Linked DNA regions of Macaca mulatta. Each later gene encodes a partner of the first gene's protein in a complex. Links are inferred from orthologs where the notes say so. Each region holds a gene or a part of one and is shown on either strand. Other genes may lie near its edges.

The links.
Region 2: the proteins of TJP1 (region 1) and GJC1 are in contact, whole or in part, in a crystal structure (PDB 3SHW), measured with the Homo sapiens proteins. The link is inferred for Macaca mulatta from reciprocal best matches to the Homo sapiens genes TJP1 and GJC1. Residues at the interface, in NP_003248.3 of Homo sapiens: Lys429, Ser432, Val433, Gly434, Leu435, Arg436, Leu437, Gly449, Val450, Leu451, Val484, Leu487, Leu488, Leu549, Asn551, Gly552, Lys553; in NP_001073852.1 of Homo sapiens: Lys391, Thr392, Ser393, Val394, Trp395, Ile396.

Annotation. Positions count from the first base shown.
Region 1 is NC_133412.1:8,707,886-8,711,693, reverse strand, and holds part of TJP1 (tight junction protein 1), read right to left. Parts: intron 3,528-3,808; coding exon 3,358-3,527; intron 1,561-3,357; coding exon 1,086-1,560; intron 1-1,085. UniProt on the Homo sapiens protein: TJP1, TJP2, and TJP3 are closely related scaffolding proteins that link tight junction (TJ) transmembrane proteins such as claudins, junctional adhesion molecules, and occludin to the actin cytoskeleton.
Region 2 is NC_133421.1:69,206,301-69,210,784, forward strand, and holds the start of GJC1 (gap junction gamma-1 protein), read right to left. Parts: upstream 3,105-4,484; 5' UTR 2,918-3,104; intron 2,611-2,917; exon of another isoform or gene 2,339-2,610; intron 2,072-2,338; exon of another isoform or gene 1,808-2,071; intron 1-1,807. UniProt on the Homo sapiens protein: One gap junction consists of a cluster of closely packed pairs of transmembrane channels, the connexons, through which materials of low MW diffuse from one cell to a neighboring cell.

The DNA.
Region 1 (3,808 bases):
TCTTCTTAGCATCATTGTGGAACAAATAATGAAAGAGGAACATAGATATTTAACGTTTTTAGATGTCCTCCACATGCCCCTTAACAGCAGGTCAGGAGAATACAAGAGGCCATGGCTGGTTAAGAGTATGGGTTCTCGGCTGGGTGCAGTGGCTCACACCTGTAATCCCAGCACTTTGGGAGGCTCACTTGAGCCTGGGAGTTCAAGACCAGCCTGGGCAGCATGACAAAACCCCGCCTCTACTAAAAATACAAAAACTAGCAGGGCATAGTGGTGCATACCTGTAGTCCCAGCTACTTGGAAGGCTGAGGCACGAGAATTGCTAGAACCTGGGAGGCGGAGGTTGCAGGTTGCAGAGAGTTGAGATCACGCCACTCCTGCCTGAGTGACAGAGCGAGACTCTGTCTTGATTAAAAAAAAAAAAAAAAGAGGCCAGGTGTGGTGGCTCACATCTGTAATCCTAACACTTTCGGAGGACGAGGTGGGTGGATCAGTTGAGGTCAGGAGTTCAAAACCAGCCTGACCAACATGGTGAAACCCTCTCTCTACTAAAAATACAAAAAATTTAGCTGGGCGTGGTGGTGCACGCCTGTAGTTCCAGCTACTCAGGAGGTTGAGGCAGGAGAATCGCCTGAACCCAGGAGGTGGAGGTTGCAGTGAACCAAGATCGCACCACTGCACTCCAGCCTGGGCGACAGAGGGAGACTCTGTCTTTTTTAAAAAAAAAAAAAAAAAAAAAAAAGCATGGGCTCAGAGGTTGGATGACCAGCAGCTAAATCGAGGCTCACCTCACTCGAGCTGTGTGACCCTGGGCAATCTGCTTACTGTCACTCAACCTCAGTTTTAGTAAAACAGGGATGATGACAATACCTACCAACCATACATGACTGTTAGCTTTATTATTTTACCAACATCTTGTAACTCCTGGAGGACCTTCTATGTAACAGCATTCATTGCAACAACACTCTTCAGTTTAAAGGTTGAGTTAAAAAGATCACTTCAAAGTCCCAAGTCAAATAAACTACAACAAACTCACATGAGAAAAATCACAGGGGCAATGCTTTGAGCAAAGGCAAAAGTCTTACCTCACAGGAATAGCTTTAGGCACTGTGCTGATATTATTTATTTGATATTTAGGCTTCTCTGCATGGATAGAGAAAGTTTCAACTCCACTGTCAAACTCAGAAGGCTGTGCCAAACTGTGCGATTTCACAAGAGTTTTTGGAGAAGTGGGAGTTTTTGACAAGTCAGGTTTATGTGCAGTTTCACTTGGCAGAAGATTGTGATTGAATTTAGGACTTTCAAACTTGCGTTCAAACGGTCGGGCAGAACTTGTATATGGTTTTGGTGTGAATCGATTGTATGCTGGAGTGACCGTTTTCTGAGTCTGTTCAGTTCCATTAACTGGGGCTTTATCTGGAAAACTTTTCTGGGGATAGAAAGCTGGCTGAGCAGCATCTTCTCGGTTTGGTGGTCTGAAAGTTGCTGGCTTATTCTGAGACGGAGGTGGGTCTGGTTTGGACACTAAGGAATTCTGAAAATCCAATGACACTGAATTACCTGAAAAACAAACATAAGCATTTAAAAACCTTTCTGAAAAAAGGTGTAACAGCCCTCTCCCAGCTCAACTTGTCCTGGTGCTGGAGTCGAGGCCCAAGTGTGAGTCGCACAGCCAGAGGCTGACTCCTGAGCCCCGGAGGCTAGGTGTGGTGCTGAGGGATGAGGGCAGCACTGACAGGCGGTACCATGGGTAGACCCTGCTGCCCTGGAGTCAGGGTCCAGCTGCTAAGATTCCTGGCCTCCAAAGACTGGCACTAGTCTTTGTGAAAACCAGAATGTCCAATAACCATATAATAAGGACATTCACTATTAATTAGAAAAATGTAAAACAAAACCAACCAAAAGCATTAAATACTATTTCACACACACTAGAATGGAAAAACTGAAAAGTTTGATAATGCCAAATGTTGGTTAAGAAGTGGAACCACAGGATTTTTTATGTGCCGGCAGAGGCAGTGTAATATAGTACCAACTGAACTCTGTGAAATAATTAAAGACACTACAAGACAAGAGAACTACTAATCCAAATTCCTCATGAACATGGCAATATAATTTACCACAGTATGAGAAGAAAAATCATATGGTCATCTTAATACATGCAGGAAAAACATCTGACCAACTGCTTGCAGCAAACTCTGAATATGGGGAACATCTTAAACACGACAAAGGACATCGACGAAAATCCCACCGCTAACATTCTAAGGGTAAAACATGAAGTCCTTCCTCCTTAAGATCAGGAACTAGCAAAAGAGGTCCAATTTCACCACTTATGTTTCAGAGTTCATTGGAGGTCCTGGCCAGTGCAATCAGCAAGAAAAGAAAGAAGGCCAGGTGCGGTGGCTCACGCCTGTAATCCCAGCACCTGAGAGGCCGAGGTGGGCAGATCACCTGAGGTCAGGAGTTTGCGAACAGCCTGGCCAACATGATGAAACCCTGTCTCTACAAAAAATACAAAAATTAGCTGGGCGTAGTGGTGTACGCCGTAGTCCCAGCTACTCAGGAGGCTGAGGCAGGAGAATCACCTGAACCCAAGACACAGAGGTTGCAGTGAGCTGAGACTGTGCCACTGCACTCTAGCCTGGGCGAGAGCAAGGCTGTGTCTCAAAAAAGAGAGAGAGGAAAAAAAAAAAGAAAAAAAGAAAAAGCATAAAGACTGGAAAGTAAGAATTAAAACTGTCTTCATCTGTAAACATGGTCGTGTGTGAAACAAAATCTTAGTAAGTCTCAATCCAGAACTATAACACGTCTGCTTGAAGACTCAAATCCTGGGAGGTGCCTCCTAATGGAATAAGAGAGAAGTCTGTGCTACGAGAATGCCTGTTCACGGCAGAAGAGATAAACACTTTGTGTTACACGCTGAGGGTAAAACGTTACACAGCTCTTAAGATGAATAAGCTGGAGCTGTATGTGATCTACCTGGTATGTAAATGCAAAAGTCAAGGTGCTATGGGATACATCTTCTGTGAAACACCATGGCTTTTCTATTTGGGTGTGTGAAGATGAAACATAACAATACGTTTTACAAACCATCTTTAGATATACTGGCAAACACTACTTCCACAAGATTGAGACTAGCACAAAACAGATTAAAATCTGTTTAGCTAAAAGGCTTGTCCAAAATAATGGTCTTGTAAAAACAGGAGACATACTTTTAACAAAATTCTTAGTTTTTACTGTTCCCAGCCCAAAGGTTTCAATCATGTATTTTTTAATGTAAAAACCATTTTGCCTAGAAACCACCAGAATTTTACTTCTTAAGCATTACTGTGTTATAATGTCTACTTCCGAACTTCCTACCTTCACCATGTGCTCCCTTAGAATGTATGTGGAGAGACGCGCTGGTGACAGGTTGAGATGGCTGGGCGTACTGCGAGGGCAATGGAGGAGGAGGGGGAGTGACCTGGAGGGGTTCATAGCGTTTCTCACCAAATGATCTATCTACACCATCAGCTTCAGGAGGCTTTCCCCTGTTAACAAATGAAGAAAATGCCAACACCTGAAAATGGACTCACATTTACAAAACAAGTTCTCATTTCTGCACGTATCTCTTAAGTTAACTAGAAATTTCACAATTTATTCTCGTGAGTATGGGTAGCTACTCTACCGAAATATAAAAACAGATTCAACCATTTATCGGCACAAGAAATGTCCACACACACAAATACTTTAAGAATATTAGTAAAACATCCAGAAGATGGCAACCAAAGGCAGGTGAAATTTTGGGTATATTTTAATATTTAATTGTTAT
Region 2 (4,484 bases), on another chromosome or scaffold:
ACTTAGCTGGGTATACTCAGGAGGCTGAGGCAGGAGGATGATTTGAGCCCAGGAATTTGAGGCTGCAGTGTACTATGACAGCCTGGGCAACATAACAACGTCTTGTCTTAAAAAAAAAAAAAAAAGAAAGAAAGAAAAAGGAAAAAGAAAAAAGGACACACCTCACCAATTTTGAAATGTGAACGAAATGCAAATAAAGCAATAGTTTTTTGGAACTCATCACTTTGCATTGAATTAGGCATGGAACAACCACTACTCATTTGTTAAGATAATGATGCTCTGGATTTAAATTATATATCCTGTATTCTAAGATCCTCGTTACTGAACTGATTGATAGGCAAGCCTGGACCTGGGGGGAAGTGGACTAATCAGAAACAGAACCCTGCATTCCTTCCCTTTGGCTGACTTATACAAATAAAAGAATAACATTTAATTGACAAAGGATAATAGCTTATAAGTAAGATTGTTATGTTGGAGATGTGTTAACTTAAGTCCTTTGAATTAAAAGCTAAAACTCAGTTTTACCTTCATGAATTGATTAGAGAGAAAATTACCAGGTCCTTTGCTCTTTTTTAAGAGAACTGTGGTGGCTACCTGGTAGAAAACAATTCTTAAGTCACACAACCTCAAAAGTTAAAAGTGCTAACTTTTGAAAAGGATGTTTGAAATGCTTTGGAAAATTGCACAACAGTTGAAGCAGTAAATAATATTAAGCCATTACAAATCAGGACAAATATTAACAGACCTTGCATATAACTTCTATGTATCTCTTCAATACGCCCTTTGCCTACAGCACTCAGGGCACAAAAATCTGGGGAAAACTTAAAACTAAGATCTGTTTATCGGAGCTTTTTACCTTCTACCCAGAAGAGTTCGTGTTTCTTTAATTCTGCCATTACACAGTACTTAAGACATCCAAAGCAACTGCAGTGATACAACTCTATGCTAAGTTTTTAAAAAGATCAGTAAACTTAACCCACAACTCACAGTATTTTAATCAGGAGTTCTGGAAGTAAGGGTATTTTTCTGTTTTTTTTCCATACCCTCTGAGGTTGAAATTTTTTTACTCTTTTACTCTGAATAATACCTAAACCCTCCCTAGGGAGAGAAATATTTTACTCCTAAATGACATTATTAACGCATTTTTCTACAGATATTAATGTACTGGAGATATGCTGTTTCCTGCTTATTAGGAAATTAAAATCCCTTTCATTTATATAGTTTGATTTTTTATAGCGCTTTCATATACTCACTTGAACGTGTACACGACACAAACATACAACAAATTTAGACTTATCAGGCATACCCTCAGCCAGAACTTATTCAAACTTACTCGATTTCACATCGTCTTGATGTTAACAAAATTAAGCATGAGCACAATGAAATCCGTATTACTACCAGTTCTCAATGAACAAAAAGAAAAACCAAATTCGCCCATTTCGCAAGGGAAAAGTACTCCCAATCAGACAATCGCAAAAAAAGAAAAAAAATCTCAACCATACATTCACGTAAATCTTTTCAACTCAGAGCTCCAAACGCAGTCGACAACCACACAACTGCCCACAATCACAGCGGTAGCGCCTACTCTTAATTTTGAAGCTAGAGACTTAGGATACACACACACACACACACACACACACACACACACACACACACACGTTCTCTAAAGTTTGACACACACACACACGTTCTCTAAAGTTTGACAAAGTGGGGGAAAAGTCATTTTAAGTAAAGAAAACGAGTTAATCAGGAGGCGATGAGCCCAGTCCTTCCGCCCCGCTTTCCCGCTTCCAGCCCTCGAACTAACCCTCCTCTAACCCCCGAGAGGCAGGAGTTCTAGCGGGAAGATGCGGAAAGCGGCCGGAGACTCAGGGACCGAAGTCGGGGAGACAAAGAGCAGCCCGCGAAGCGCCCGGGTGGCGAGGGGCGGCCCGGCTCCGCCCTGCGCCCCTAACCGCCCGAGTAGTTGTCGGCACCGCCGGGGCGCCGCCGAGTGCGCGCCGCCTCTGCCCGGGCTCCCCGACAGTCCCCCGACAACTCCGCGGCCCAAGACACCCCCGAGCCGTTTCCCTCCGGATTTGGGAGCCGCGCGCTTGGGGACAAAGAGGGAGGGTGCGCCGGGGGCAGTGGCAGGACGCGGGCCGGCGACGCCCCTCCGGACTCGGCGGGAACCCCTCGGCGGCGCCCCCCTCCTCCCCCCGCTCCGGCCGCGCTCTTCCCTGGACCTCCGGAGGTGCTCCTCGGCCCATCTTCGGGCTCCCCACGAGTTCTCCCGCCTCCCCCTGGGACCCCGCCCCTGGCCCCCTTCTCCTCAGCCGGCCCTGCGGCCGCCCCTCACCCGGCGGCGGGTTCCCCCGGAGCCGCCTCCTCCGCCGGGCCTCGGCCCGTCCCGCCGGCCGCGGCCTCATGTGCCCAGCGTCGCCATCGCCTTCGCCTTCACCCTCGCCTCTCCTCCACCTCCTCCGCCGCTGCCGCCTTCGCCTCAGTCTCCAGCCGAGGCAGAAGCCGCTCCCGCCGCCGCCGCCGCCGCCTCCCGCTCCCGCTCCCGCCGCCGGGACCCGCGGGAAGGCGCCTGCGCACTGCGCGCTGCGGTGGGGGCGGGGGCATCCCGCCGCGGCCCGGGAGCGGGGGGCGCGCGGCACGTGGCGCTCGAGTGGGAGGGGGCGCCCCGGAACGCGCGGGAAGCGACGGGAGCGCCAACTTTCCGCGGTCGAGTCCTCGCCGTGCTCTCGGATAGTCCGGGACGCGGGGGAGGCGCGGCGCGCGTGTGAGTCACCCGCGTGGAGTTTGGACCCCGGGTGGGCGCAGACTTCGCTCCGGGCAGTTCTCCTCCAAGCTGATTTTCGGGCGAGAGTCCCCTGCTAGCCGCGCCTCAGTTTGAGCTGGCCGCTAACGGCGCCGTGGGTTCTCGCCTTACCTGGGTATCCTGGGTTGGTTCAGCGGGCCCAGAGTTGTCTTCTGCGCGCTCCGCCGAGGCCTTGGTCCATTGTAGCACGGGATGCTAATGTCTCCTCCTAGGTTCTGCTCTACAATTCCTCGAGGATCTGGCGGGCCCTGGGTGGATCTAGCTACCCTAGCGTCTTTGAGTCGGGGCTCTTAGAAGTGCTCTAGATACTTTTCAGGTCCTGAACTTCTCGGATTAGCAAGACCCTAATAGGCTATTTCCTCTTAACTCTTTGCATCCCAGCAGGGTCCCATTCAGAGGACTTGGGAAAATTTTTCATGCATAGGAATCCCCAGTTTTAAAATGCCCAGTAGGAAACCGAAAATTCTCCAAATGCTTTAAGTAGAGTGAGACTTTGGCTAATAAAGGAAGGCTTAGTAAAGAGATGGGCGACCTCTGGAATTATCTCATCTGATCATCAGAATGCCGATGGATAGGCTTTTATTATTTTGCCCTTTTGACCAGAGGAAATTAAGCGCTAACAAGTGAGGTTACTTGCTGCAAGTCAAACTCCCCAACCCAAAGCCAAGCCCTAAGGGCTAGCCGCAGAGTGGAAAACTTGAAGGCTAGGCATCTAATGCACTGACCAGTTTTTTGTGGCCAGTATGGTGTTTTCCAAAAATATGAATTAATTACCAAAATATTAAAATCCAGATTTCTGGCCTCCCTAAAAAGTCAAAACGTGCTTACTTTGAGCTGCTCTTTTCACATGGCAGCTCCTCTTGAGTCACCTTGTCCGGGTAGGCAATGTCCCCACTCAGCTACTTAAATCATTTCATGACCTGCTTGGCCTAGGAGCATTTAAGTACTTCTCCCTGTGATTGCTGTAGTCTGTCCCCACGTCTTATCACATTGCCTCTCTACAGATGTATTTAAAATGACAAGTGTGGGATGGATGCGGTGGCTCACGCCTGTAATTCCAGCACTTTGGGAGGCCTAGGCAGATGGATTGCTTGAGCCCAGGGGTTCCAGACCAGCCTGGGCAATATGGCAAAACCCCCATCTCTACAAAAAATATAAAAATTAGCCGGGTGTGGTGACACGCACCTGTGATCCTAGCTACTCCAAGCATGAGGTGGGAGGATCGCTCAAGCCCAGCAAGGCTGCAGTAAGCTGAGATGGCGCCACTGCACTCTAGCCTGAGCGACAGAGTGAGACCCTGTCTCAAAAAACTAAGTGAAAAAAATAAAATGACCAGGGTGGAAACCCTGAAAATACCTGGAAATAATAATAAATAACATGTAACTAAAATAACACAGTAAACAACATCATTGTACCTGTTGAATAAAATATTAAAATTCTCACAGCCTGCAACTGTAAACTAGCATAAATCACTTTGTTGTTTTTGTTGCTTTTGTGACAGAGTCTCACTCCGTCGCCCAGGCTGGAGTGCAGTGGGGTGATCTCGGCTCACTGTAATGTCCACTTCCCAGGTTCAAGAGATTCTACTACCTCAGCCTCCGGAGTAGCTGGGAATACAGGCACCCGCCACCATGCCTGGCTAATTTTTGTATTTTTAGTAGAAATGGAGTTTCACCAT